Linked DNA regions of Caenorhabditis elegans. The protein of the gene in region 1 interacts with the protein of each later gene in a pairwise test. Each region holds a gene or a part of one and is shown in the gene's direction. Other genes may lie near its edges.

Region 1 (6,691 bases):
CGTAGCTCATTTTTCGGTACTTTGCTCCTCGCTTCCGCAACTCGGTGCGACCTACGCCTACCTAGCTTGGTGCTGGACTAGGACTAGGGCACTGGACTAGGGCACTACGTGGCCGCGAGAATTGGAATTTTCTCGGAAATGTACTTCACGAATGTTTTAAATTCTGAGTGGCCCGACAAGCGCTTAGGCCGGCAAAATACGGCCACCGATGTCTAGCGACTACGACATGAATCTCAATTTCGACTTTTAGGCCATTCAAATACTCGCAAAAAGTCCGGAATGACTTCCAGCTTCTACGAGTTAAAGCTCAAGAACTGGAAATTCTGTCGACAAATCGGATACTCGGAATACGAAGCGACGCGGACCTGAGCACGCTGATCTCATGGCAAAGCGAGCTGTGTCGTGACGATACCGTTGGCTTCGTGCTGGATAAGAACGTCAGCGAGTATCGTGTCAGCTGCGTGTGGACGGGCTCCTCACAGCTTGGACAGTGCCGTGCGGTTCCGCCGAAGTACATGGCGGAAGTGTACAGCTTTATTGAGGAGGACGAGTGGGAAGAGAAGTTGCAGGTGGGGAAAGAGTTTTAGATTTTGAAGGTGGTGTAGTCGAATTTTTTTTTGCTTATTAGACTTGAAATTGTCTAAAAAACGAATTTCATAATTAAAATTCTTGAAAACTTCTCAAAAAAAGTTATGGCGGCTCAAAAAATTACTTAAAATTAGTAAAACTAGAAGTTCGACTTGCCAAACGGTTGGAAACTAACTTTTTTGAAATTACCGTCTAATTTTGGGTGTACAATAATTATCATGCGTTTTCAACTCGGTTTGAAAGGCCAGAAGACCTTAAATGTACCTAAATCGAGTTGAAAACGCAAGTTAATTAACTTATACATCCAAAATTAGACGACCATTTCAAAAAAGTTAGTTTCCAGCCGCTGACAAGTCAAATTTCAAATTTTAACGAATTTTATGTCATTTTTTTTGAGCCGTCATAACTTTTTTTTTTTGAGAAGTTTTCAAGAAGATTCATTAGGAGATTCGGCGTTTTAGACAATTCCAAGTCTAATAAAGCAATTTGTAGAAAATTCGCCTAGTTTAACCAATTTCTCACAGCTTTTCTCATTCAGAAAGTGCGAAACGCCATCGGATGTGACACCTCGGCAGCCGTCAACTTCCAGGAATTTGTAGAAATCAAGCCACCGAAAACGAATGGAGCTCATGGTGCATCGATTAGAAAATCCGGAGGAAAAACGAATACAACCGCAATTCGCTATGTGAAACGTCACAGAACATTGTCCGAATTCGTGATTTGCAATGATCGTTGTGTTCAGGGAGGAATCGGATATTCAGCCTCGTTGGTCATCATTTTGGCGTTGGCAATCTCGTTTTTTAAGAACTGTATTCAGGTCGAATAAATATGAGCTTTTTTTTGCGAAAATCTTTTTTGTTGTTTTTTAATTTTTTTTTTCTAAATTTTTGTCATGATTTTTTATATTTTGAAAACAAAAATAAAAAGGGCTAAACAGAAATATTATTAAATTTTAAATTCCCGCGCAAAGCGAGTGACGTCATTTTCGACATTTTTGCGTTTTTCCGGCTATTTTAATTGATATTTCTCTGTTTTATAACTTGAAACATAATTTGTGGATTTTTCAGACATTCTTTCGTAATGAAATTTGCTGAAAAATTGAAGAAAAATCAATTAAAGTCAGAGAACGCGAAAGTGACGTCACTTTTTTTACTCTGGAATTCAAAAAAAATCAGTTCTTTTGACCTTTTTTTTGGCCTGATTTTGGCTTTTTGGTCTTTTTGGCCTTTTTTGCGTTTTCCGACTGTTTTATCTGGTTTTTCTTTATTTTTCGTTATGTCACAATTTTAAACAAAATTTATAAAATTTTCAGAAATTTTTCCGTAAAAAACTTGTTGAAACTCTAAAATTAGCCTAAAATCGATAATTTAATTTTTGAAAAACGTTTTTTGTGGAAAAATGTCCGAAAAATTGACAAATTATGTTCCAAATTGTAAAAAATGGAAAAAAAATAAAAAAAACAGCCAGAAAACCAAATTCAAAAAATCAAAAAAAAATTAGAAAATTTTTATAAATTTTTTCACTGTTATATTCTGCCATTTAGAGCAAATTTTTAAAATTTTCAAAACTATTACCTTCGCCTTCGCCTGCCTCGCATGCTCAACTTTCGCCAGCTCCTGGCTCTTCACCTCGAAAACTATTTTATTCCGTTTTTCGAGTATATCTCCGGCTAATTCGAACAATTCGACGCCGAGAAGATCGATGAGCTCGCCCTGTAGATCCATATCGGAACGTGTCGAGCACAACATTTGTAGAAGGTTTTGGGATATTGTCTGAAGGAAAATAGGTTAGAAACTTGATTTTTTAGCCGAAAATCAACCTCAAACGTATCTGGAAAATATATAAGCAATGTGTCAGCAATCGGCTGAAAAATGCTCCCAGAGCCCGAGGTAGAAGGCACTTGGGGTAGGGAAAGAGCTTCTGGAGCTTCTGAAAAACCTTCTTGTTCAGCTTCACAATTCGACCATTCTAGAAATTCCGATGGAAATCGAATTTGAATTTCCTGGTGGAAGCTTGCTACCCGTGATGGTGAGGGTGGATCTGAAAAAACATCTGGTAAAAATTTTTTTAATAAAAAAATGGAAAAAAAGCTAACTAACCATCTCCAATTCGTTCGATATAGTTGAGAAGATCCATTTTGTACCTAGTTTGGCAGCTGTAAAATTAGAATTAAAATTAAAATGAAAAACTATATTTTTCAAGAGAGAAGGATGTTCAAACATTGTTCAAAATTTCGCAATTTTTGAAAAATCGATTTTTTTCTGAAGTTTTAAGTTTTAATTACTTTTAATTTCTATTTTGTTTAATTGCCAAATATTTTTGTTTTTTTCTCTGTTTTAAGGTGAAAATTAATAAAAATGAACAAAATAAGGTCCTGGCCGCTTCCCTTCTCTGACCTAGCGCTTTCTAGGCCAACTGCACTTTTATTTGGCGGTTTTTTATGCAAAAGTGTATTATATTAATTTTTTTCGCAATAAAGATGTGTTTTTAATCATTAAAATAGTTTAAAATGAAGAGAAACATTGAAAATTGAAAGATAACAAAAAATGTTTTTAAAAAAATTCTACAGTACTTTTTAAAGGCGCAGTCCAATTTTTGTATTGATTTTCCCGCCACGATTACTCTTGTGGACTCTTTTTTCGTGCTTTTTTTGTTGTTGGTTATGGTTTTTACTGATTTTTTTTGAATTAAAAATTAAAAAATGACTTTTTTAATTAAAAATTTGTTTCAATTATTTTGAAACCCTCTTGTAAAGCCTTGTAAAACAAGAAAATTGAACTACAGAAGTTTTAAAGGCGCATACTAATCTTCAAAACAATTTTCCTACCACGAAAATAAATGATGACGCGGGAAAACTGAAGAATCGTTAATTTTCTCCGTTTTTCACGAAAAATGTCGGTTTTTTCTATTAAATTCATCCGATTTTCAGATGTCGCTCAACACAACCTTCACCAAAGAGGACGGAACCGAGGTCGTCATCCCATTCAACGGGTCGCAAAATGGGCATCCGGAGAACGAGGAGCCAGAGGTTGAAGAAGCCGCGGAGCCCAGTTCTTCAGTGGAGACACTGTGCGGTGCCACGAGAGGCGACATCATTGTGATGAAGCACACGACGAAGGCGCTCACAGAGTTGATCGAGCGGCTCTTGCACTCGGATGGTGAGAAGCTTTGAAAAATTGCTAAAAGAGATTTTAAGAGGAATAAAACCATATTAATTTCAGAATTCGAAGTCCGTCGCTGCTCAAACGGCCAAATCATCTCACAAGGCCGCTGCAACGGAACAACGCCAGGAAACGGCATCGGAGGCGGCGGGGCATCAAGCGAGGAGCTCGAAAAAGCGCTGAAAGATCGAGATGCCGCCCGTGCCGAAGCCGACAAGCTCCACGCCAACTACGCGACACTGTTCGCCTCGTTCAACACGGTTCGCGAAGCCGCCAACGACATCCGCGGCGAGTACGAGGACGCGAGGGACAAGCTGAAGCTCGCCGCCGCCGAAGTTGACGAGTGGCAGGCAAAGTTCCTCGCCGTCAAGGATAATGCGAATTCTGAGCTTGAGAGGTGAGTGAGAGAAAATTTAATTTGCAACATGTAAGAATATATTTCAATTCAGAGCATCCGTGGAGTACGACGATCTTCTCCGATCCCACGATGAGAACACAAAGGGACTCCGTCTGCGTGTAAAACGCCAGGAAATCGAGCTCTCCAGCAAGAACGACGAGATCAAGGTGCTCACGAACCGCGTGTCGGAGCTCTCACAGATTTGCGATCAACTTCTGAATGATGTCGACGTTTCCGATGGGATGTCCGTTATTTCGACGGATGCATAATTTATTTCTGTAAAATATAATATTTCTTCCCCCCGCCTTTTCGCTTTCCGCCTTATATTTTCTAATTGTACATGAATTTTTCAGCTTATTTATTTGTTTTCCAGATTATTTGTATGAGAAACAAGTACAAAAGGCTTCGTTTCAGTATTTTACCGAGAAAAACTACAATCTTCTAAATTTTCGCGCCAAAGATACAGCGCCCGGTCTCGACACGAAAAACATTTGCCAAATGCAAGCATGTGTGCGCCTTTAAAGTGTACTGTAATTTCCAGGCCGAATTTGTTTTGATTTTTTTAGTTCTCACTTGTTTTTCCAAACAATTTATGCGTTGTTACGAGGTTTTTGTAATAAAAGTCAATAAAATTCCTACAGTAATCTTTAAAGGCGCACACCTCTTTTCAGACTGCCGCATGGATTTTGAGCGAATTTTTTGATTAAAATGTATGCAAAACTTTCAAAATTTCTATTAAAATCTTGCAATTTTCCAGATGAAAAAAGTGGAAATTCTGAAAACATCTCGGCCATCATCTGCAGGAGGCGCTGCCCGACCCTCCACAGCGAGCCCAACTCATGGAGCACCGAAAATCGCCATCAAAACACGTCCGGTGGCCGATGACGTGGCGCCTACCGCCGCTACGGTCATCGAGCCATCGCAAAAAGCGATGAAGGAGTCTGTGCGATTTTTGACGGATTTCGGAGAGATTTCCGATGCGATTTCAGTGTGTTTTTTATTTTAATAATTTATTATGGAGACGCAGAAAAATGGCTTCTTGAAATTGGAGACGTGAAAACGCGCTCCACCGAACTATGGGTCTCGTTAGGGTTTGCTCGTAAATTCAAATGCTTCCAAAATTTTAAAAATTAATTTGAAAAATGTTCAAGCATTTTTCGTACTTTTTCTCAATTTTGAAGCATTTTTTGTGTTTTTTCTCAATTTTGAAGCATTTTTTGTCAAATTTCTTAAGTTTTTTGTGCTTCTTGCTAATTTTAAAGCATTTTTCGTATTTTTTGTCAATTTTTTAAGCATTTTTCGTCCCTTTTGACAGTTTTCAAGCATTTATCATTTATAATTTCAACAAAAAATTTCAACACATTAAAAAAACAGAAGACGACGAAAAAAACGAAAAATGCTTGAAAATTGACAAAAAAAATTACAAAAATTGCTTGAAAATGTTAAACAAAAAACACGAAAAATTCTTGAAAATTGACAAAAAATTACAAAAAAATTCTTGAAAATGTAAAAAAAAACACGATAAATGCTTGAAAATTGAAGAAAGAAGCACGAAAACTACTTGAACATTGACACAAAAAAATTACAAAAATTGCTAGAAAATTGAAAAAAACATTACAAAAAATGCTTGAAAATCGACAAAAAAAGGTCGAAAAATCCTTGAAAATTGACAAAAAAATTACGAAAAATAGCTTGAAAAAGTTCAAAAACAAAAAAACGAAAAACTTGAAAATTTTTAAAATTACGGTTTCGCCGCCAAACAACTAACGAGACCCATTATTCGGGGGTGGAGTTGACCGTGGAGCGCATTTGTAATTTTTCCAGGATCTCCTCACATCGAGCCCCAACTTCAACGTTATCTCTGCGATCGGGCCGCAGGGCGCCGGAAAATCCACATTGCTGAGCATGTTGGCAGGGAATAATTCACGTCAAATGTACAGGGAATACGTTTTTCGGCCAGTTTCTCGAGAAGCCAACGAACAATCACGACATCAAACAATTCAAATCGATATTTATATTGTAAATCATCAAATTTTCTTGGATTGTCAGCCAATGTACAGTTTTTCGATTATGGAAGGCCTTCCGAAGGTTCGAGGTGGACGATTCGATGATTCCACTGCGATGAGTGATGTGAGGAAGCATTTTAGACACAAAAAATCGGAAAAATTGGTTTAAAGGCGCACGAAAAGTTCTGTAAAGGTCTTGCCACGAAATTAGTTTTTCATTTAAATTAATGAGATCAGGGGTGGACGGATTTTCGCCAACAAATTCGACAAATTGCCGATTAGCCGGAAATTTCAATTCCGGCAATTTGCCGATTTGCCGGAAATTTTCAGTTCCGACAATTTTCCGGTGTGCCAATATGCCGGAAATTTTCATTTTCGACAAATTGCCGATTTGCCAGAAATTTTCAATTTCGGCAAATTTTTTGTTGAGAAATTCGGCAATTGCCGGTTTGCCGATTTGCCGGAAATAATCAATTCTGGCAATTTGCCGATTTTGCGATTTTCCGGAAATTTCAATTACGGCATTTAACCGATTTGCC
Region 2 (2,930 bases), 9.1 Mb from region 1:
TGTGTTCAAACTCAACGCGCTCTCCAGGTCTGCACAATTTTTCTTTTTATTCCTTTTTGGAGTTTTCCATTTATTTTAAACGTTTCCGATTAAAAATACATAAAATTATTGATTACAGGATAAGGAAACTTCGGAGAAAGCCATCGTATGTCGTTCGTCCCATCAGAAGTTCGACTTGATCACACATTTTTAGAGTGGGACAAAGAGTGGATATTCCAGCGTCTGCCAAAGGTTTGTGACAAGCTTTTCGAATAATTAAAGTGTAAAACCCGTAAGTATTGAAATTAAAATTATTCATTTTTAGACCGAGATTCAAATTCCGCGCGAGTTTGAGCCAGATATCGAAACCGACGCAATTCCCACCATTGCTCGTCAGCCCGCCGACCCAAACACTACCTGGAACGAGACTGGTTTGGATCAAATTCAAATGGGACCAACCATCAATAGTACAAAAAATTAAATCAAGGTTTGTGAAAGTTGATGTAATTTTTTAACTTCTTACACAAATTTTCAGATGGGAAACGAACAAAGCTCGTCAACAGCGGGCACATCATCTAATCCTCAAAATCAACAGTCGTCTTTTTCATTTCTCACTCGAGCCAGTACTAAACGATCAAAAGGCATTATCACGGTCAAAGATGGCAATATTCCTCAAGAAAAACTCGAAGATGATGAAATTTACAAAAGATTCACCGAAATTCCCCGTTTTTTGCCGGTGATTCCAGCCGTAATAGGCAAACGAGATCCACAAACGAATCAAGGAGCTTCTTACACTCATCAAAAAATCAGTTCGCGGCCCTTTTTTCGGTAAGATTTATTCCTTTTATTCAAAGTTTTAAAGTCACATATTCAGACTAGCAACACGATTACAAGAACATTTTGCCGTTAATGCGAAAGCAGTGGCAGCAGATCAAGCTAAAATTCCAGCAACTTGCAAGAGTGTTGAAGCGAAAATGATCAGACTTATTGAAGAAACAAGAGCTCATAAAGAACAACATGACGGTTTTATGGCTGCATTGAGCGGACTTAATCAATTGCACGATGACATCTGTAGTATTCAGGTGCGAATTAGAAAAAGAAACAATATTTAATGCATCATACCAAAATTGATTTTTAAAATGTTGCACCTTACATTTTTGCTCAAAAAACTTGCTCCGTTTATCAAAAATTAATTTTCAGATAATTCTTGAAGATATTGTGCCAATGGTTGAAACGCTTAATGAAATTCTAACTCCCGACGAACGTCTTCCTCCTCTTAATCTTGGCTCAGTGCTCGACAGATCTCCCGTTCCAAGCAGTGATAGCTCACTTCAAAGTACGCCCCGCCATAATCAAAATATTGGTCATATTGATCAAATTGAGCCGATTGAAGAAATCCGCGTAGTTGATCTACCAAAATAATTAATTTGTAAATTTTTATTCTCTTCTTGAATCTGTTGCCCTATCGCCCTTCCCAAAAAGTCTTGAAGGCTTTATCTCACTTTCTTCTCGCAATATCAAAATTCCATTGCCGTTTTGTGATTTTTTATTTAGTTCATGCACATATTTATCCGTCAATCCTATTTTGATTTCTAAATTTATCATAAATTCTAGTATTTTTCGCAAATTAATCTAATTAATTTACTTTGAATCTAACTTATATGGTTTGTGCCTTTTTCATATTTCCATTTCTTGTAATTAATTGCATCATTAATTAATTTTTAGATCACCAGCAATGAATGCGAGCTCCAGAACCAAACCTGCAATCGATTTGAACAAGGTAATATCTTAAAATCTCATCATAAAACTTTAAAGCTAAATTTTTTAAGGTTCCTCCGATCGATCATCACCGTACAGCAGTAACATTCAACTGTCTCATCATGAAAATGACAGAAATGCTCAATAATTTCGGAAATAAAATGGAAGACATTTTGGAAAAGGCAGAGCAGAGTTTAGACACTGCCGATCGAAAGTTACGCTTGATGGAATCGAAATTGGCAGGAATGAGTTTGGAGGATAAATCAACCACCGCCACACCATCATCAGCACCAGAAATAGACGAAATTCACGAATCGAATCCCAGCTCTTCACAAATCGTGGAGGAAACAGTGGAAGAGAAACCAGAAGAACATACTACGACGGTTCTTATCAAAGACGACCCGGCTTATAGTAAATATTTCAAAATGCTGAAATTGGTGAGTTTATCCACTTGAAATTGCTTTAATAATACTGTAATTTTTTTTAGGGAGTGCTTGAAGCTGGTGTAATACAGAAAATGAAATCCGAAGGCGTCGACCCATCAATTTTGAAACGCGGTGATGAACCATCTCGTCCACAGGCACAGACTTCACGGAATTATGAATCTTCTGGAGAATCTACGGCATCCTTCTCTGACTCTGATTAATTTATTTTTTGTATATTTTTACGGGTTCATAAAATGTATAAAACATTATTTTTTAATTTTCGGAATATGATGTACTACACTGTTAACTCGTTTTAACGATTATGATATACTTCTATTCATTTTTTTAAAATTGATATAATATACATACTAATTTCCCTTTCAGACAAAATGAAATCACATTCAAATGTAACTACGCCACAAGCAGAACTTGTGAGCCCAGCCATGGGTGAACTACTCAAAAATGCCATCATGAAATCTGTAAGTTATTAAATTAATATCACATGGAAACTTTATTTGAAATTTAGGCTCCTGTCGCTCTTGCACTTATGAAAGGTGAACGTCCTGGGAAGAAAAAGAAAAATAAAAGGGAAAAACAAGGTGAGCGACCGTTCGAATAAATGATTAGACTATCGGCAGTTTTTCAGAAGATGACGTGGAAGTTACACCAAAGTCGAAAGAGAAACGTCGGAAAAGCGAGAAGAAGGAAAAACCTCCAATTTTGAATTATTTGGACGATTCAGATTCTGATTCGGCAGATTTTTCATCA
Region 3 (11,351 bases), on another chromosome or scaffold:
GCTGGTGGCCACGGTTCGTTGTAAGAGGAACGTTTGTCCAAAGAAGGTGACCTCTACCTGCCCGTCCATCCCCTTTTGCACCTTGTTTTCTGCCTGTCGTTAGGAAGGACGCGCCTTTAATCCGGGCTGCTGCGGCCCATTACTTCGCCATCGGTACTCCTCCACAGACCACCTATGTTGTTTTTCACTATTTTAATTTTAAAAAAGAAAGGTTTTATTTTAATGTGCATTCTGAAATGATGAAAAAAGAGTAGCCCTGAGGTAAAAAGGAGAAGCTGACCACATAATTTCATGGTCCAACAAGCTCCTCCTGTTGCTAGGTAACGTCAAATTTGAATTCACAGTTTACCAAACTAGTCAAATAACTAGATTAAGACATATTTAATGAGTATAGACATTTATGTTTCAGAAAAAAATGTTTTTAACCCACCTTACTAACAAAATCGGAAAATTCCGGAGATCCAAGTAAATTATTATAGTTTCAATAAAGTTTCAACTTTTGAGTTTCTTGTCAATTTAGCACATTTTGATAAAATTTAATGTTTCTTCCGAAAACATACTTTTGGAACTAAATTTTAACAAAGTGTTTGAGGAGGTTTAACGTTTCAATCCGGAAACTAAAAACAAGTCAGCTGTTGGGGGTAAGTATAAATTGATTATTTTTGTGATGCAAGAAAACATGAGTGCAACTGAGCTTCTCTTCTTCTTCTAAATTTTACATTGAAAGTATATTTAACTCAATATTTCTACATTGAATTAGATATTTCAGACAAAAGCTAGACTTTCTGTGTTTTAAATGAAAATTGAAGCTGAGTTAAAAGTTTGAAATTTTTCAGTCAATATTCCAACTTCCATTTATTTATTATTCCAATTTTTCAATTTAATTATAATTTTTTCCAATTCAAATAGCAAAAAAACGCATCTCTTGTTATCTGTCGCTGCCAATGTTTCCCTCATGTTTTAATGATTAGTCGGGGTGGCTCTGTGTTGGCTCTCCGCACATGCCTGCCAGAACAGATAAGAGGTGATTGTAAGTCGGCCGTCGCGGGGGCTCTTAAAGCAACAACTAACGTCTGGCGCGTTTGAAAATGAGGACCGAGTGACCGGTCTATATGTTTTATTCAAATAAAACAATGGGCCGCATAATCCGCATGTTTTGTCCTTCTTCTTCTTCTTGATTTCGCACTCCGGGGCACAGTCGCTTCTCTTGCATAATTTTAGTGAGTGGGCGCCCCCTTGTTAGTGATCTCAAAAACCATGTCCTTGAAACATCTTCGGATTATCTAATCCTTTTTCTCTCTGCTGCGTTATATCTAAACCCTCTTGATGTTTCAGTTAATAATATTTTAATTAATTGACTCTTACAACTTTTCCTTTCACAAATCTAAATAAAACCCCTTCACTTTTTTCTCACATATTCCAAATGATTAGTCTAGGAAGTGCAAAGACCTGAAACCCCCTGCTGTTTTCGCGAATGATCTCCATTTTAGGAATGAGGGCGCAAAACTATTTGTCAGCTTAGAAAGTCCCCCACAGAGAATGAAAGATGCATAAGCATTTTCGTCTCTTCTTCTCCACGCACCAGCGCCTATGTCGGTCGTTATACAGTGAATACTATTCTATCTACATCTTACCCTCTATATTTTCACACGTTTTACATGTTATCAATAGAGCCGACTTGTCATGCACATCATGCATATACATATATAATTTTCTCTTCCCTTCTTTCCTTCATTGTATCAAGTGTGTCATTTTGAAAGAAAAAATCATTTTGAAAGGTAAGAGTTGCCAGTCTCATTAGTATAAAATGGTTGACTCATTTCCGTTTCTAATGACACTTGATCTCCAACACTGTGTCGCATTTTCATCGTACTGATTGTTTGTCATGATAATATTTGTTGAGAAACTATTATCTTGCGGCAGCCAAAACCAGCACCCTTGCTTTTCCGCTCCTTTTCCTTCTGCTTCTTCTTCTTATTCTGCTTCTTCGTATTGAGGGGCCTCCGATTTTATGGCCATTACAAGCAAAACCACGACGCTCACATATAAGCAGTGAGATGGCCGTTCGATTCTCATACCGTTCGTTTTCTCGTTTCCTCGTTTTTATCAATCGATTTGCAGTGATTTTTTACCTGGCTCTTCTTTTTTTTCCTCTCTCACTGCGTTTTCCCAATGTGTCCCATGATCGGTTGTTGATTCGATTCAGTTCTGTATTTGTCTATCTATCGATGTTCTAACATTCTAGTTGCACTGTTACTTCTATGGAATGTATTAGTGTGTTTCCCTTTTTTACTAAACATCTGTACATTGTTGTTTAGATGTCGTGAGATCGCAAGTGTATGTTTTTTTGGAAACTTTATGAACTCTTTTGTACGGTTATTTTTGTGCAATATATGAGTCACTTTGCAAACATTCTTTGATGCTGATATTTTTATCAGTAATAATAAAATCAAGAAACTAAGGTATGGGTATATTTTAGACGTTTTGTGTTCCCATTTTAGTCATAAAATCCCAAAAGTACATAAAATCGCTACAGTCAAGGCGCACTAAAAAAACCTTTTTAAAAAAATAGAAAAAAATATGACTTTTTTAATTCCATATTTCGAAATAGTAGTAGAGTATTCGCCTCGCCACAACTTTTTTGGCGCATTTGTTCCCGGCATGTTTTTGGTACAATAGACGACGTTCGCTATCTTCTTCCCGCATGTCGTGACTAATGTCCCGTTGGCTTGTACATGTTGAATATAATTTCACACACACACACACACACACACACAGCGTGACGCATAAGTTAGTGTTGTTTTTTCTATGCTGGCCGGGTCTGTTCCACTTCTCATCTTGACCATTTATGTTTCGACACTGTGATTTGTTTCAAGTCGACTTGTTCCTGTTTTTTGTTCAGTTCTTTGGAAATCAAGTGGCTATTGAAATATATTTTTTGTGAACTCAAATTTGCAGACGTGTCTGTGACCATTAATTTCAAACTATACAATTTTATGGCATTATTTTCTAATAAAACCCCCATTTTGTTTAGATAAAATTGTTAGTGTTCTAATGAAACATACATTTTAGAGCGAAGATAATTTTAACTATTTAACTTAAAGAGACGTGATGGGGTGGTAACAATTTAAAATTTCTGGCTTGTATATATTTTTGGCATCTGTGATAAAGACAAATTGTAGGAATATGTTAATTTAAATAAACTTAATCCAAAATTTTTGGATTTATTTTTCAGGACTCATTATGAAACCTTCCAGGGAGCCAAAACCCTCCGAACTTAATCTCCTTTATTTAAATTCAGAATTTTACAAAATATCCAAAGATAAAAATACCTAATAATAGTTTACTAATTTTTGAATTAGATGACAACCTTTCAAAACAATCGACTCCCCGCTCCTCCTACCAGGTCCCTCTCCGATGGTGCGGTTTGTCGCCTCGCGTCTATAATAAAACCACCGGCGGAGGTGGTTGGTGTCCAATAAACGTTGAAGACCCCCACCGTTTATACCCAAACGCCCTTCTTTTTTACCTCTTCTTCTACTCAAGCATATCTATCAGATCTCTCACACACAGTCTTCCCTTCTGGTAGATACTAATCTAGAGTAAGATGCGACCCGCCCGGAGGAAGACGAGAGGAATATTTATATTTTTCCCCCTCATCCAACCTACTGAATCATACCAATAGTTGGTGGGAATTGCCGAACAAAAAATAAACATATCCATGACTCGACACAAGTGAAATGCGAAACCTAGCGTCTTCCATCTTCTATGTACGGGATATCCTTCTATTTTTCTATCCACGATGGATTATGATTTATGAATCTTCCTAGATTTTTCAAAAAATTTCATTTACTCCTTCCCCTGCTCGTTTTGCTCTGCATCTTGTTTCTATTATTTACATCAAGTTCGCTAAAACAAACTCAATGGCGGCCTGCTTGTGTGTATGTGTGTGTGTGTGTGCGTGTGTTTGCCGTAAATTCTTGTTTCTTTCTGATAAGTTATGTCTTATCGCCGCACAGTTTTTCCTTTTCGTCTTCAATGCCTCCTTCTTACCGAGCTCTGTTTTTAGATTATTAGAAGCATTAAAACCAGTCGTCTATTTCTATTTTCAGTCTCAAAAACTTGTTGATCAATTTAATTTTTTCAATTTTCAGCGACCAGCATCGAAAGAAAACCGATCGGAGTGGGAAGAACGCCTCACCGAAGGAAGGAAGCATGTCCCACGAGTCATCGGAAAGTGAGTTCTAGACATTTAAGTTTCAAACTGTTTCTATTTTGCAAAACGTTCAATGTCCACTAATCTCAATTGTTTGCCACAGTTTTCTCCTAACCAATTATCACCGAACCCATTTCCTACGGTCGCCGTGGTCGTTAAACTCAATGTCACAATGACCAGAATTAGCCAAGGCAACACACCAACTTATGTACATTCTTGCGTTTTCTACGCTCCCCCTTTCCCTGCCTTCTTATGACTTCAATGCGATGATCGCATCTCAACAGTCTTCTTATCACCTCGAAACTGCCAAATACGGCCACCCCGCCTCATGAGGTATTGTGGTGTTGACACTTACACATTTCGATACACATACACATATACGTAATAATTTTGCTATATACGTTTTCGAAAAGTTCACACTACTCGGAGCCTCCTCCTCCTCCCCGCCAGGTGAATGCTTTCTGGCGCGCATGATGGTGAGGATGCGTCTCTGAATGTGCAAACATTATATTTGTATAAGAAGGCGAAGAAGACGCAGTGGGAGGAATAGAAGGCAAAAAGAAAGAGGGCAAAGAGAAAACAATCTGTTTGTGATGGTGTGTGTACGTGTCCGACAGTCCAACCAGGAGTCTCCCCTTTATTCATCGGAGACATCTTTCCGGGGCCAGTCTTGTACATTCCGAAGGGAAAGGGGAGAAAGGAGGGAAAACGAGGGAGATTGCGCATCCTCGCAGGGTGACTCATCGTTATTTGCCGGGATGGGAAAGAAAGCGCATGATAACCTTTTTTGTTGACCATGTTTTGCCGCAAAATGAGTCATCAACCTAGACTTGTTACACTTTGCGACTTGGGATGTGCATAATCCTACAACAATTATAACTGAACATGAAACTGTATTTTCAGAAGCGCATAAAGCGATAGAAAATGTGGAGGACTACTGCCAGACACTGACAAGACACGGCAATGAGGAGCTACGCACAAACCTGGAACGAGTTATCACCACATTCAAATCAAACCTGATGCATTCGTTGCTCGACATTCACGATCTGTACGAGCAGACGCTGCTCAGCGAGCGAAAATCAGATGCAGAGAAAAATATGGAAGTAAGGCGTGTGATTGAGCGACTCGAAGGTGGACCACACTCCTACAACAGTCGTCCGGCTGCGACGACTTCCACGTCGAACTACAACCTTTCAAGCACAACTCCACTTATTTCAGATGTAAGCTCTGCTTTCTTTTTTTCTCTGGATTTGGATTCTAGATTTTTTTAATACTTTATAAAAAAAATTATTTTAGCTGAGAGATCGGGGAGGTTTCTCGTATTTGAACGGCGGAGGCCTTGGAAACGGGCTTGGGAATGGACTTGGAAACGGACTTCTGTCTTCTCCGTACAACTCATCCAGCACTCACTACCTTCATGAGCGTCAACGTCAGACCAGTCATGATGGAACATGGCGGGAAACAACCACAAGAACAGTTGACACTCCAAGTGGTCTTGAAAGACGTGTGGTTGAAGTAAGATAATTTTGGCTCAATATTAGTTTTAATTATCATATATTCAGCATACTGGAGTTATCGATGATCATGGTCGTAAATGGGAGCTTGAGAATATTGTCTTGGAGAAAGGTCACACCGGCCTTGGATTCTCGATTACTGGAGGTATGCGCGTTCAACCGGTATTTATGATGTAACATATCTGATTATAGGTATGGACCAACCAACAGAAGACGGAGATACTTCTATCTATGTCACCAATATTATTGAAGGAGGTGCCGCACTTGCTGATGGGCGTATGAGGTAAAAAACCGCAATTTAAGATGAACAGAACTTTATGGTCATGTTTTTTTTAGAAAGAATGATATTATCACTGCAGTCAACAATACAAACTGTGAAAATGTGAAGCATGAGGTTGCAGTCAACGCATTGAAAAGCTCCGGAAACGTTGTTTCGTTGAGTTTGAAACGGCGTAAAGATGAAGCCTTTCTTCCAATTGGAGGAAACTTTGGCGGGTCGACTTCTTACCTCAGATCAGGAGTCACTCCATCAGTGAGCGCCGGCAACTTGCAACACGCAATTCATTCTCCATCGGCTCCGATTCATCCACCACCGCCACCACCAGTTCATCACGGATCATTGAGCCAATTATCTGTTGGCCAATATCGTTCCACACGACCGAATACATCCGTCATTGATCTGGTTAAGGTTGGCGACATTTTCTCTTTCCAAAGTACAAAAGAATCTATGTGAACTTTTTTTAGGGAGCACGTGGACTTGGTTTCTCTATTGCTGGTGGTCAAGGAAACGAGCACGTTAAAGGAGATACCGATATCTATGTGACGAAAATCATTGAGGAGGGAGCAGCTGAATTAGACGGAAGATTAAGAGTCGGAGATAAGATTCTTGAAGTTGATCATCACTCTTTGATTAACACGACTCATGAAAATGCGGTCAATGTTCTCAAAAACACTGGAAATCGTGTTCGACTTCTTATTCAGCAAGGAACTGGGGCAATTTTCAATGACTCGGCGAGCCAACAATTCATGCCAACTACCCCAATTCTCAGACGTAAGACAATCCCAAGAATCAAAAATAATAATATAGTTTCTAATTAATTTCATTTCAGCTAGCTCCGTTCAAGACTACAACCGCTCTCAAATGGGATCTCAAAGTCATTTGTCTTACGGAGGACCACTGAACACCAGCTACAGTTCACAAGCCCCCATCGCAATTCCACTCGAACCCCGTCCAGTACAACTTGTAAAGGGCCAAAATGGACTTGGATTCAACATTGTTGGCGGAGAAGACAATGAGCCCATCTACATCAGTTTTGTTCTCCCAGGAGGTGTTGCTGATCTTAGTGGAAACGTGAAGACTGGAGACGTTCTTCTTGAAGTGAACGGAGTTGTTTTGAGAAATGCAACCCATAAGGAAGCAGCTGAAGCATTGAGAAACGCTGGAAATCCCGTTTATCTCACTCTTCAGTACAGACCACAAGAGTATCAAATTTTTGAGTCCAAAATTGAGAAGCTGAGAAACGACGTGATTGCTCAATCTAGAATGGGAACTTTGAGCAGAAAGTCTGAATATGTTAGGTAAGAAGATTTGTTTACTTATAAATGTATACATATATCAACGAATAACATCTTTCAGAGCACTTTTCGATTATGATCCATCACGTGAAAACTCTGTTGCTCCCCATAGATCAATGGGATTTAACTATGGTGACATCCTACATATCATCAACTCATCTGACGATGAATGGTGGACAGCTAGAAAAGTTCACGAAAACGGAGAAGAAACAGCTGAAGGAGTGATTCCATCAAAGAAACGTGTCGAGAAGAGAGAACGACTTCGTCGGAAGCAAGTCAACTTCAACTCGGGATCGCAGTCTCTTGGAAGAAACTCGAGCACTACTGGATTGGAAAACCGAAGAGGAAGCCGCAGTCAGCTTTCCTTCTCCAGAAAGTTCCCATTCGTCAAAAGTACCGACCGGCTCAACGATCTTAATGAGGAATCCTCAAATGTAGCTGAAGAGCCAGTGTGGTCCTACCAGGCAGTTGAGCAACAGGCGATCAACTACGTTCGTCCAGTGATCATTCTTGGAGCTCTCAAAGACCGAATCAACGATGAACTTGTCAACCGCGACCCTTCGAAATTCAGTAGCTGCGTTCCACGTAAGTTGTGAAGTTATTAACTACTTTAAAAAAGAGAACATTTCTAAATAGTATGTGCAATATACTCATAATACCCTTTTCAGACACTTCCCGACCACCACGCGAGGGAGAGGTTAACGGACGTGACTACTACTTTGTCAACAAGCACAATATGGAGGAAGATGTCAAGAATAATCTCTTCATTGAAGCGGGACAATTCCAAAACAATCTCTACGGAACTAGCATTCAAAGCGTCCGAGATGTCGCCAACCAAGGAAGACACTGTATTCTGGACGTCAGTGGAAATGCTATCCGACGACTTCAAAGCAATGCCAATATTCAACCAATCTCGATCTTCATCAAGCCCAGCTCTGCACAACAGATTCTGTAAGTTAAATTGTAAAAAGAAGCTTTATCAATCTGCAAAATTTCAGTGAATTGGACAGCCAACTTGCCACCAACCGACAAGACGATCGAGCGATGAGTGGCGAAGAAGCTCAAGCGCAGTATTCCAGATGTCATAGAATTGAGCAAACTTTCGGGGATTTGTTCACGCGTATGTCTTTTTTCCAACCATTATTATCAAATATCTGATTTTTTATTTATTTCAGAAGAAATCTCAAATGTGCACAGCGCGAATGACGTTTTGAGCAAAGTGTACTCCATCATCAGCCGTGAATCGCAGACGCCAATTTGGGTGCCACGTCATTAGATGAAATTGGATATTTTTTAGACAAATAATCGTTTCTTCAAGAAATATGTCTTCTTGAAATTAATTAATATACAGTTTAATTTACCTTAATAATTAGACTACGCCGTGTTGTGATACTTTTTTTTAATCTGAGAAAAGTGATCCTTTGAAAAAACTCTTGATGTCATTTGCTTTATCCTGTTTCCATCCCCATCTTTATTTGTATTTTGTTTAGTACCCCTTCCCTATTATGCATTAATTTACATGACCTTTCCAAGTTCTCAATTCAAGAAACTCTACTACTCGAACTCAGAAACGTGAAAGGCCAATATTTCAATAGTTTTCTGATTCTTTTTTTCTTTTACCTTGCTCATTATTTTCATTTTCAATCATAACTCTCCACAATCACTGCCAGAAAACGGTGAATCGTTTCTACTTTTGTCTCCGAATATTTTACTACGATAGTTTGTACTGCCTGTTTTCTCTACAGCCCATTTTATCTTGAAATTCACCTTACAAATACTTGCATTTTATAATCCGCCCCAGCTTTCCTTCCTTCTTCCCTCTCCTTCCTCCCCCAACTCAATTCACTTCTTACTTGAAATTGTGACAGTTTGTGATATTCTCAACGCTTCATTTGTCTCTACTAACCGCAAATCATTATCATATTCCCGACTCTCTACTGATGAAAAACTTCGGCTCATTTCTATTTTTTGGGACTTTTATTACTCTGAGAGCATTTTATTTTCATCCATTGGTTCCAAACTTTTTTTTTTTAATTATTTTTAAAAACTTTTTATACAAATTATCTTGAATAAAGATTTTATTGCATCTGCAAAACATACATGTGTTGAAGTAACAAGAAAAAACTTTATTTTCAGTATATCAGGGTGTTCTGAAAATGACTGCGGCAATTTGTCATTAAAAATATTCATTTTATTAGATCGCTGGAAAAATTCCGAAACAAAAGGATTTGAAGTACTCTTCAGAATCCGTTTCGAAATGTGCTTCCGTAGCGCAGTAGGCAGCGCGTCAGTCTCATAATCTGAAGGTCGTGAGTTCGAGCCTCACCGGGAGCAATCTTTTTTGCCTAATATATTTCTTCGACTGAAATATTGTTCCTGATATTTTATTAGTCTTTCAATTAACGAAAAAAACATGTATTTTAAACGCAAAATAAGATTAGAATGATTTTAAAATATCAATAATATTTTAATTACTGACTATGAGTTAAATTTGAGATTTTTCAACTAGACTATTTACAGTTGTGATATTTTCAAATCCCTGTCCCACTTGGGATCTCAGTTTTTGCATCCTTTCTCAAGTCCTTTGTGAAGAGTTCACAACGTGCTTCCGTAGCGCAGTAGGCAGCGCGTCAGTCTCATAATCTGAAGGTCGTGAGTTCGAGCCTCACCGGGAGCAATTTTTTTTTTGAAGTTTTCCCAAGTAGCATAAGTTGCCATGAAGAAAACTGTAATTTTAATTTAATTTTTAATTTAACTGTTTAAATTCATTTTTTAATTTGAGTCAAAGCTAGCAATTTATTTTATCTCACATTTTGTTAATTTGAAACACAGACTGGCTCGAATTTAAGAACATTTTTTTATTCTTTTGATCCTACTTTGCAGACGTTGTTCAGTGCTTCCGTAGCGCAGTAGGCAGCGCGTCAGTCTCATAATCTGAAGGTCGTGAGTTCGAGCCTCACCGGGAGCAATCTTTTTTATTTTATTGATATCTTGATTTTAAATTTATGAATGTTTATAATTGTAGAATAGTTCCTCATTTTCTCATTTTTAATTTATTTTTACATAGCAAAGTTACTTGTTTTACTCTTTTCTGCCTCATTAAATGTGTTTCATTGTTTTTATGTTCACGCTTTAATTTTTCTGTAACAATAGTATGATATCGCTTACGGTTTAAATAACTTTAAAAGATTTCAGTTCTACCATAGTACCATTGAGATAAAATAAAGGGTAAAATAATTGAGCTAGGTCATGTCAGTGACCCCCTTTCATGCAATTTTTCGTGTGCGCGCACAAAACGCGTCAATAGGATGGTTGACGTCTTTTCCGTGTGAACGTGCGTGCTTTATGAACGTATTAAAGTTTATCGGATATTCTTAACTAGTTTCTCACAAATTTGTTTGCATTCCCAACTTGTATGACGGTTCTTTATTTTTTATTATTCGTTTTTTTTTTTTTGGAAAATGAGACAGTTAATTTTATTCTATTGTAATGTTTGTTTACTGGTTTACTAACTGAATTTCTTAGTGAAAATAATGTTTAATAAAAAGTTAAAATGAATAATGAATATCTCAAAATAATATAGTAGTTGTGTATATCTTCTTTGAATTCGTAAATACCTTCAAAAACAAATTTCCCAGATCAACCATGGCAAAAATGAAAATGACACAAGAGGAACTAGTGCAAGCATTTAATCAATACATGCCAAAACGACCGGTTTATCCTCCACTGGTTCACGATGATGACGTGCTCGCACATTCCGCCACAGAGTCGGAAGGAAGTGACGAAGAAGAGGATGATTTGACGTAATGTTTTATTTAGCTCATAATCCTTTAATAATAATTGTTCTGAACGTTCAAGAAATTTTCTAATTCCAAAATAACCAGTATGTGGAAGTATGTCCAAAATTGTGGTCCAAAAATGTGATATTAAATTTTCACTCTGTTAAAAATATTTGAACAAAAATTTATATGCGGTTGCAGGGAAAAAACAAAAATGTTTTTAAATAAAAAAAACTTTGGAAATGTTATATCCAAAAGGATGTTATA
Region 4 (8,387 bases), on another chromosome or scaffold:
CTGGTCCCTGACCACGTCCGTCACGTCCTTCTGGACCGCCTGAGCCTCTACGTCCTGGGAAGTCATCTTGTGGTCCGAAGTCTGGTCCTTGCCCACGTCCTCCTGGACCGCCTGAGCCTCTACGTCCTGGGAAGGCATCCTGAGATCCCGAGTCTGAATCTTGCCCACGGCCTCCTTGACTTCCTGGTCCAAAGTCTGGTCCCTGACCACGCCCGTCACGTCCTTCTGGACCGCCTGAGCCTCTACGTCCTGGGAAGTCATCTTGTGGTCCGAAGTCTGGTCCTTGCCCACGACCTCCTTGACCTCCTGGTCCGAAATCTGGTTCCTGTCCACGTCCACCACGTCCTCCTGGACCGCCTGAGCCTCTACGTCCTGAGAAATCATCTTGTGGTCCGAAATCTGGTCCTTGCCCACGGCCTCCTTGTCTTCCTGGTCCGAAATCTGGCCCCTGTCCACGTCCACCACGTCCTCCTGGACCGCCTGAGCCTCTACGTCCAGGGAAATCATCTTGTGGTCCGAAATCTGGTCCCTGTCCACGTCCACCACGTCTTCCTGGGCCGCCTGAGCCTCTACGTCCTGGGAAATCATCTTGTGGTTCGAAATCTGGTCCCTGTCCACGTCCACCACGTCCTCCTGGACCGCCTGAGCCTCTACGCCCTGGGAAATCGTCTTGTGGTCCAAAGTCTGGTCCTTGCCCACGGCCTCCTTGACCTCCTGGTCCGAAATCTGGTCCCTGTCCACGTCCACCACGTCCTCCTGGTCCTCTGGGGAAGTCGAACTGGCTATTTGAGTCACTGTGCTGAGAATTTTCTGACAAATCAGAATTCATTGATGAAGGTCCTCGGGCAAATTGTTTCTTAGAAAACTGATTTCCATTGGTTAGATTGTCGGATGGTCCAAAGTTCTGCCTTTGCCCACGTTCTCCTGACCCTCTTTGGTTATTATCCTGAGTTCCTGGCACAAATCCTGGACCATCCCCCCTTCCACCTCTTCTAGACTGGAAATTTTGCTGTGACCCAGTTTGTTGGAATCTGTTCATCATCATTGGCCCAGCAGGCATAAACGGTTGTTGCCCAAACATCATCATTGGTGGTTGCTGTTGTTGGAAGATAAATGGAACCATCGAGGATTGTGGCTTCTTTCCCATTCCTATTCCTTGACCGAAAATTGGAGATCTGCCTTCAGGACGGTAGTTGCGAGCAATGAAAAACAAAGCGCGGACTTCCTGAAAACCATAATCTTTAGATAAAGCAGAGTATGAGCAAAAACATACCCTTGGGAAGGTGGTAGCAAGCTTTCTGATCTGATCATGTTGGTCACGTCGGGTCAGGTTGCTATTCGAAAGAATTTCTTCTAGCTGGGTGTATACTGTGGTTATATTAGAAGCCACGGCTTCAACGTTCTTGCTCACAGCTTCTTTTTGTTCTTGAATTTTCTTTGTCCAAGCGTTAAATTCGTCCTAAAAATCAAATGTGTCTCAAACTTAAAGGACGGTAGTACTTACCGTCACATTGAATGCCTTGGCCCAGATTGTGAGCTGCTCATTTTGCTGATCTTGAGAGAGTTGATCGTTACTAACAATGTCGAAGAACTCTTTTCTAGCAAATCTAGGCACATGCATCAAGAATCTAGGGAACAATGGTCCATCGGGAGATGGACGTTGAGCTTGTTGCCCACCAAATTCTAGTTCCGATGAGTCTTCGGAAAGCTGCGCCAAACAAGGGATAAGTAGTGCGGAGAGCACAATGAGCAACCTCATCGTTTGCTGGAAAATCTAGAAGTTACGGCGACCAAAGAAAAATTTGAGGAAAAGGGAAAATTAAACGGTTTCTTTCTCAAAGTTCCCAGTTGACTCCTTAAATACTTTAGGCCTAGTCTACCTGATCGCGATGTGTGTTCCTTTGAGCACACACGGTCATTTTTTCCTACAACGTTAGAAAGTAAACTTCTGCGTGCGCGCGCGCAAGCACGGAGCCAGAGAAAAACAGTCTCACTACCTAAGAAAGCCGATCATGGGGTCACTAACCTGGAAAATAGTTGAGCATTTGTGGAGGGTAACGAGGCAATCAACAAACAACCTGGCTTTCTCCTTCCGCATTTGAGATCCGCATCAATTTAGTTAAGGGGGAGGGAGGAAAGAGAGAAAGTTCAAATTTTGTAGTTTTTCAAAAATCGTGTAAATACAATTAACTTTAGGGAACTTTTAGAAGAAAGTGCAACTTACGACAAAAAAATCACAGTGATCAGCGCCAGATTGCGTCGCGAGAAACGTTTATTTTACAAAATCATTAGGCTCTGTATAAGTGACTCATTATTTTAAACTTATTTGTTGGTCTCAATATACTTTTCTCTTACAGGTTATCACAAATGCTAACATGCCATATATCTCCACGAGAATTCCGGATCCCCGCCGGAACCTAGCCGGAGACTTCCCAAGTGAGCATAGCAAGTCGAAGATCAAACTTGATCCGCTCGAGCAACGTCGGTTCAGAGTAAGCCGTACTTTTGAAGACTGAAATAAAATTTTATATCATGTTCAGAGCAGTGAATCGCGTCCAATCACCACCAGCAACTATCTCGCCGAGAGTGTCGATCGCCATCGTGAGATGGAAGCATCCCGGCTCAGAGAGTATTTGAAGGTGATTTTAATTTAATAAAGTCATGAAATTATAAAATTAAACGTTCTAGGCAAAGGAAAACGAAGCCAATCAGCCATGGAACAAACCAGGGTGGCCTGGACCAAAGAAGAATGATGAGAGCCTGAGGGAGCTTGAAACCATGAAACAGGTGAGCATGCATAGCACTGCATGAAAAGTATAGTTAAAAAGTAATTCGGAGTTCCGCATAAATCTAGGTATTCAAATAGTTAAATTAGAAAATATAAGGAAAATTTGGCAATACATCACAAATGTATTACACAAAGCCTACAAGTGATGACCAACAAACTTTGTCGAACCCTTGAAAAAAAAAATTTATTTTAAGATTGTTAAATACATTTTCAAAAATCGACCCGATTACCCAGTTGACAAAATTAAGAGATGTCATTGGTTTAGGGTTACCTTATTCACACTAGAACATTTTTTATAATTTTGTTTCCAGAGAATCGAGACGCTGAAAAGAGTAAGTCTATATCCCCTTTCTTGCATGTTTGTTTGTCTTCCTGTTTGTCCTTATGTGCATGTTATACTGTGTTGTCCCTCCTTTAAAAAAGATATCCCTGGCTTGGAAACGACAACACATGGATCCTCCTACTACCTACTGACCAACTTCCCTGAAACTACACGGTGTGGTGTGAAGCGTAATAGTGTGTAGAGAGCCGTCAGCCGAAATTCAGAAAACTTCCCAATCGATGAGCGATTTGTCAGTCTTGCCTACGCCGTCACAATTCGAGCAGCTAAATCCGGTGAGTAGACGGGGATGTTTTCGGGTACTCCAGGTTTTCAAAACGGAGCATTCGTTGAACAATAAATGAGTTTTCAGCAACCTCAAGCTTCTCCAATATCTCCGGGAGATTCTGGATGGCTGATCAAAATGCGCAAAAATCGATATTTGGATCACACCTCAAAGGTGAATGAGCCTAAGAAGTACAGATCAATGGACCAGCTTCCGACTGGAAAAGTAAGCCCCTGTCTATACTCTCAACCCAAAAAATCTCAACTAATGAGATCCACCAAAAAATTTGCGTCCTGCGCTCTACGCCAAATCGAATAGTGTCTCTGCCGAAGAGTTTTCTCTCGCTTAACACATCTCTCCTTCGATCGAATAGAAGCCTCTTGAAACTTCCGCCGACGCACACACAAACTGTATGTGTGGCTGCTGGAGGCTCTGCGCGGCGAGAGAGGGGGCTTGACGGATAGAATTTGAAACTCTTTTCTTTTCCTCTTTACTCCTCCTTCATTTTTATGAGGATTTTCCTTTTTTTTGAAATTTTTTTTAATGAGTAGGTTTTTTTTAGAGGTTTTCAGGTTAAAGTTGTAGGAATTTTTTGTTTCTTGTTAAAAATGATGCATAACGAGACTAAGGCTTAGTCGTAGTTTAAGGCTCAGACTTAGGGTGCAGTGTAATCCGTTTAAGCCTAACTATAAGATAAACATTATTCTTAGGTGTAGGTATAAGCATAGGCTTAGGCTCAGACTTAGGCGTATGTATAAGCTTAGACTTAGGCCTATGTTTAGGCGTAGGTATATGCTTAGGTTTAAGCTTAGGATTGTACTTAGAATTATGTTTAGGCTCAAACTTAGGTTTTGTCTTGATCATACAGTCTTAAGATCAAAATGAAAGGAAAAGTGTTCATTGCATATATTCCTTTTTAGTTAACTTTCAGTTTTTTTTCAAAATTGTTATTGCCTAAAAATAAGACTAAAATTCAGTATTGGTTGAGGTTTTTAATTTCTTGGTGACAAAAAAAAAACGAACTAATCTAGTTTGATATTCCAAAATAATCATGTTCGACCATCATATGTTATTTCCTTTTCCATATTTGATGCTTTATTTTTTTTTTAGAAAATCCTATTGACTTTGAACCTTCATTGCTTCCTTATCTTCACTCTATCTCTTACCGCAATCATAAATTGTTTGTTTCGAAGTTTGTTCGGAGCAGCAGTAGCAGGCGCCCGCGCTCGCGCACCTCCCACAATAATTGTCGGTGTATGCGTGGGGGTGATGCTTTGACTGTTGAATCAGTAATCCGAAATAAAAACAAAGCAATTTTCGAATTGAACAACATTGAAACAAATTGCCTAAAATACAAACAGTTTTGATTACAGGTTGGTGCACCCGACAACGAGAAGTCGGAAGGTACAGATCCGCTGCACTGGCAACTGAGGAAAGACTTCCATTTGGCTAAGTATTCGGTATGTTTTAGTTGGTAACAATTTTGAATATCTGAAAAATTGTAAATTAAGGATCTAGTGAACCAATGTATCAAACCATTAGAATTACAACGATCAGACTTACCTAGTAAATAGTCATCTCCAAAAGGAGTATCTTCAAAGCTAAAAAATGTCCAAGTCGAGAAATAGGTTAATTAATTACAACTTTAGCAAGTCTTGAAGTCCAATTCATAGCTTAAAACATAAGGATCTACCCCGAATTCTATTTTTTTACTGCATAGGAGTTCTACAACGACCCAGGAGATCTTATAAAATTATAGTACTCTCTGGAGCTGTTTTTAAGGCCTAATAACTTTTCTATGCCACCACTATGTATTATATGAAAGTGAAATAAATATCGAAAATTCTACTTTAGTTTGTTAAAATTCACTTCAACTTCTGAAAAGATTATATTAGTGTAACAAACGCACTTGGAGTCAGAATGTCTCAATTCAGTTTGATCTTCAAAAAATGCGGGAGGTAAGACACAGACATCTGATTTTTTTGTATGATTGAGCGTGCTGACACCACAATTTTTTTGGGAAAAAATTCCCGCATTTTTCGTAGACCACACTGTAATGGGAGAGCCTGACACCACCTGCAAACGTATTCCTAAACATTTACAGAAATTCGTTAAATCCCAGTCATCTCCACACATAGATGTATTTATCATTTCTCTGCAGTAGTTCTTAACCGTCATGCGTTCCGCGTCGTTCTTATGTTCCGCGCACCGGGGAAACACGCATTTGACCCGAATAGTGTGCTCATGGTGATAAGTGTTCATGCTCGTGCGTGCCTTAACCTCCTCCTCCCCTGTGTTGCTCCTGGCGCTTTTTGCTTCGTTTTGTCTTTCTCTCCACTATCCCTCGTTTTTAACATACGAAACAAGAAAGACAAACACATTCGTCAAAATCCTAGGAGTTCCCGGGTGCGTCTCTCCGACCTCTCACTAAGTCTCTGGCTCCCCATTATCCTCAAAAGCACTGTGTTTTTTTTCATTATTAGGTGCCAGAATCTAGGTTCAATCTTTTCAATTCTATTTCAATTTTTAAATTTGATGGTTGCAACCAAATGTTTCTCGGCGGAACAGCTTTAACATACCTATTGTTTCAAAAACTTTTGTGGTCAATAGACATAACTCTGAGCGCAAGGCACCCATCTCTAATCACTGTTGCTTCTGTTTGCTGGGCGGGTGAGAAAAATGTCCAACATTGTGTTGTACTTCTTTTTCAAAACCATTCTTTTTCATCGTTACACCAGCACTCTCGTTTCCTGCGTTTCTCACAATTTTGGGATTCTCTGTTTATTCGAGTACATACCGTAGTGGTCGGCTCTCGCTGCTCAACACTTCATTTTTTGCCCTCGAAAAGAGTTTTTTTGGAAAGTTGCAAATTCAAAAATCACGGAGATATTGTTTTGTTAACTTTTATTGGCGAAATCGATTTTTAAAAAAAATTCTCTAACAAGATACCTTTTCAAAATTAAAAAGTGTCCATCATTGAAATGATCTCATCTTTGACCAAATCTATAATTTTTATATTTATAGTTACTCTATTTTCTTTTCTCCCACTGAGATCTCGTCTTGCCTTATTGAAAAATCCTAGAGAATTATATAGAAAAGTTACTGACAATTAGGCTTCCATCCAAATATGTCCTCAACCAACGACGACAATACCGAACCGCCGTACTCGACAGTCAGGCAGTTACGAGCAGAATATCTGGCTCGAGTGGCGTCATCCTCCACGTCATCTCGATCGCATTCTTCGCGTCCACCACGCCGGGGCACGGTTTTTGGGACAAAACCTACTATCAGTTTGCCATACATTCCAGAAGTTGAAGAGGTCTAGAATTGTGTTCAGTAAAGTTTTAAGAAACGATGTAGAGGAAGGAAAAAACATACAAAAAATTAAAAAAAGTTTAACTTAAAATAATCTTGAATAATTTTCAGGAACGTCGTGCATCATACCACGTAGAATCATCGTCATATATCCACAGTAGTCAACAGATCCAACATCCTCCACAACAACACCATCCACCACCACCATCACCACCTCCAGTTGCAGAGACGATACAGCACCAGCCACATCCTTCACAGCAACAACCATCGACAACTACCATTTCTAGCAGACAATTGTACAAGTCACAGCTATTATATCCACCTGGAAGTACTGAGAACATTGCAAGTGAACACAAACCTGCAATACGTCCACCTGAAAAAGTGAGCGTGATGTTTTAAAAAAAATTTATTCCCAAATCTTTATCCGAAAAATTACAGTCAGTCTACGAAAACAATCCAATAGCACCTTCCGAATTAAATGTGCAAGTGAAGCGTGCTCCACCACAAGGTCCGCCACCACCTCCGCCGCCGCAGGCTCCAGCAGACATTGACTATCCAGAGCGGTTAATGAGCCCACCACCAACTCACCAGCCACGATCAATTCTCAAAGGGTACTCTTCACAACAGTACTATTCGCAGACAAATCTTACGGAATCACATCATCATCAGTCTAGCCAAGAGACATCCCTGAACCCTCAACAAATGCATCCAAGACCGTCGGATCGTCGGACACCGACTCACTTTGAAGATCTTAGTGAAGATGAAAAAACTCGAATTATGCATGAAAACTTGCAAAGGCATCGAAATATGAGAAGTGGTCCTAATGGTCCAAGACCAACTACTACCTCCTTTAATGGTCCATTTTTCCGATTGGAGCAGGTTAATCCAGGGCAGAACCAGCCGCAACAGCCACAGTATCAACAGCATCCTCGGAGCCAGTCAGTGGATCCATCCGGAGATATGAACGGTGGACCAAGACCGATTCATCAAAATTTCTCCGCATCGGAAATCGAGCTTCATCATTATTCTCGAAACGCAGAACCATCAGTCGTTGTGTGGCCCCCAGTTTCCGAGAAAGAACGAGAACGACCTAGTTCAGTGCTTGCTAAGAACTTTAATGATCCAGAAAGAATCGATGAGTATCAGAGACAGAAGCGACTAGAGTATGAAGCAATTCAACGCACCAACGAGAAACAAGCGGTGAGCATGGCCAAACAGGTCAATGCGATGATGCAACAACAAAAGCTCTACGAAAGGTCTCATGGAATGACGTCACCTGTGCCAATCATGGAATCGATCTCTCCACAGCCTCAAGTTTCTCATCACCACCACCAGCCTCAACAGCATCAACAACATCAACCGCAACAGCAATACTATCCATCTCCTCCACCTCCACCACAACCGTACAGAGATCCAGAACCCGTCTTTAATCCTGTTCAAGTTTACGAGACAAGACCGATATCAGCGTTATCTGACCAAATCGATCAGCCACCGTCGCAGCAGGCTCCAACTAGTTGGAAGAGAACGTACATCGTTGAACGTCCTAGAGATGTTGCCAAAAATGAAATTATTACTTCTGATCAACTGTTAGAGAAAGAAGCCTACGATGTGGATTTGCTGAAGCGTCGTGAGACATTTGTAGAAAAACCAGAAGAAGCTCCAAGGATAAACAGGCTGGG

The links.
Region 2: the proteins of tac-1 (region 1) and ddl-1 interact in binary tests that used the Caenorhabditis elegans proteins (3 or more experiments, as listed by UniProt).
Region 3: the proteins of tac-1 (region 1) and dlg-1 interact in binary tests that used the Caenorhabditis elegans proteins (3 or more experiments, as listed by UniProt).
Region 4: the proteins of tac-1 (region 1) and pat-12 interact in binary tests that used the Caenorhabditis elegans proteins (3 or more experiments, as listed by UniProt).

What each region holds. Positions count from the first base shown.
Region 1 is NC_003280.10:14,750,702-14,757,392, reverse strand, and holds tac-1 (Transforming acid coiled-coil-containing protein 1), read left to right. Parts: upstream 1-3,515; 5' UTR 3,516-3,517; coding exon 3,518-3,746; intron 3,747-3,809; coding exon 3,810-4,146; intron 4,147-4,198; coding exon 4,199-4,415; 3' UTR 4,416-4,502; downstream 4,503-6,691. Other genes in the region: Y54E2A.5 (uncharacterized protein), read left to right, coding at 251-569, 1,127-1,414; Y54E2A.4 (Activating signal cointegrator 1 complex subunit 3), read right to left, coding at 2,163-2,360, 2,408-2,628, 2,688-2,724; smg-9 (Nonsense-mediated mRNA decay factor SMG9), read left to right, coding at 4,904-5,134, 5,971-6,276. UniProt on the Caenorhabditis elegans protein: Involved in microtubule formation, polymerization and assembly, regulating microtubule nucleation and length. Plays a role in pronuclear migration and mitotic and meiotic spindle elongation during early embryogenesis.
Region 2 is NC_003280.10:5,646,659-5,649,588, reverse strand, and holds ddl-1 (WASH complex subunit homolog 3), read left to right. Parts: upstream 1-1,704; 5' UTR 1,705-1,714; coding exon 1,715-1,759; intron 1,760-1,808; coding exon 1,809-2,174; intron 2,175-2,224; coding exon 2,225-2,383; 3' UTR 2,384-2,430; downstream 2,431-2,930. Other genes in the region: F59E12.17 (Anaphase-promoting complex subunit 13), read left to right, coding at 148-231, 305-460; sam-4 (BLOC-1-related complex subunit 5), read left to right, coding at 515-807, 854-1,061, 1,180-1,401; F59E12.9 (TFIIS central domain-containing protein), read left to right, coding at 2,552-2,641, 2,689-2,761, 2,809-2,930. UniProt on the Caenorhabditis elegans protein: Acts as a component of the WASH core complex that functions as a nucleation-promoting factor (NPF) at the surface of endosomes, where it recruits and activates the Arp2/3 complex to induce actin polymerization, playing a key role in the fission of tubules that serve as transport intermediates during endosome sorting.
Region 3 is NC_003284.9:5,475,546-5,486,896, forward strand, and holds dlg-1 (Disks large homolog 1), read left to right. Parts: upstream 1-4,154; 5' UTR 4,155-4,215; coding exon 4,216-4,237; intron 4,238-4,446; exon of another isoform or gene 4,447-4,557; intron 4,558-4,673; exon of another isoform or gene 4,674-4,951; intron 4,952-5,119; coding exon 5,120-5,436; intron 5,437-5,512; coding exon 5,513-5,731; intron 5,732-5,778; coding exon 5,779-5,875; intron 5,876-5,922; coding exon 5,923-6,013; intron 6,014-6,066; coding exon 6,067-6,418; intron 6,419-6,474; coding exon 6,475-6,781; intron 6,782-6,839; coding exon 6,840-7,308; intron 7,309-7,366; coding exon 7,367-7,890; intron 7,891-7,973; coding exon 7,974-8,256; intron 8,257-8,303; coding exon 8,304-8,425; intron 8,426-8,480; coding exon 8,481-8,581; 3' UTR 8,582-9,396; downstream 9,397-11,351. Other genes in the region: C25F6.1 (Condensin-2 complex subunit H2), read left to right, coding at 10,951-11,108. UniProt on the Caenorhabditis elegans protein: Essential multidomain scaffolding protein required for normal development. Recruits channels, receptors and signaling molecules to discrete plasma membrane domains in polarized cells. Required for proper embryonic elongation.
Region 4 is NC_003281.10:734,060-742,446, reverse strand, and holds the start of pat-12 (Protein pat-12), read left to right. Parts: upstream 1-3,468; coding exon 3,469-3,618; intron 3,619-4,766; coding exon 4,767-4,853; intron 4,854-6,819; coding exon 6,820-7,089; intron 7,090-7,146; coding exon 7,147-8,387. Other genes in the region: idpp-1 (SXP/RAL-2 family protein Ani s 5-like cation-binding domain-containing protein), read right to left, coding at 1-1,225, 1,274-1,459, 1,505-1,759.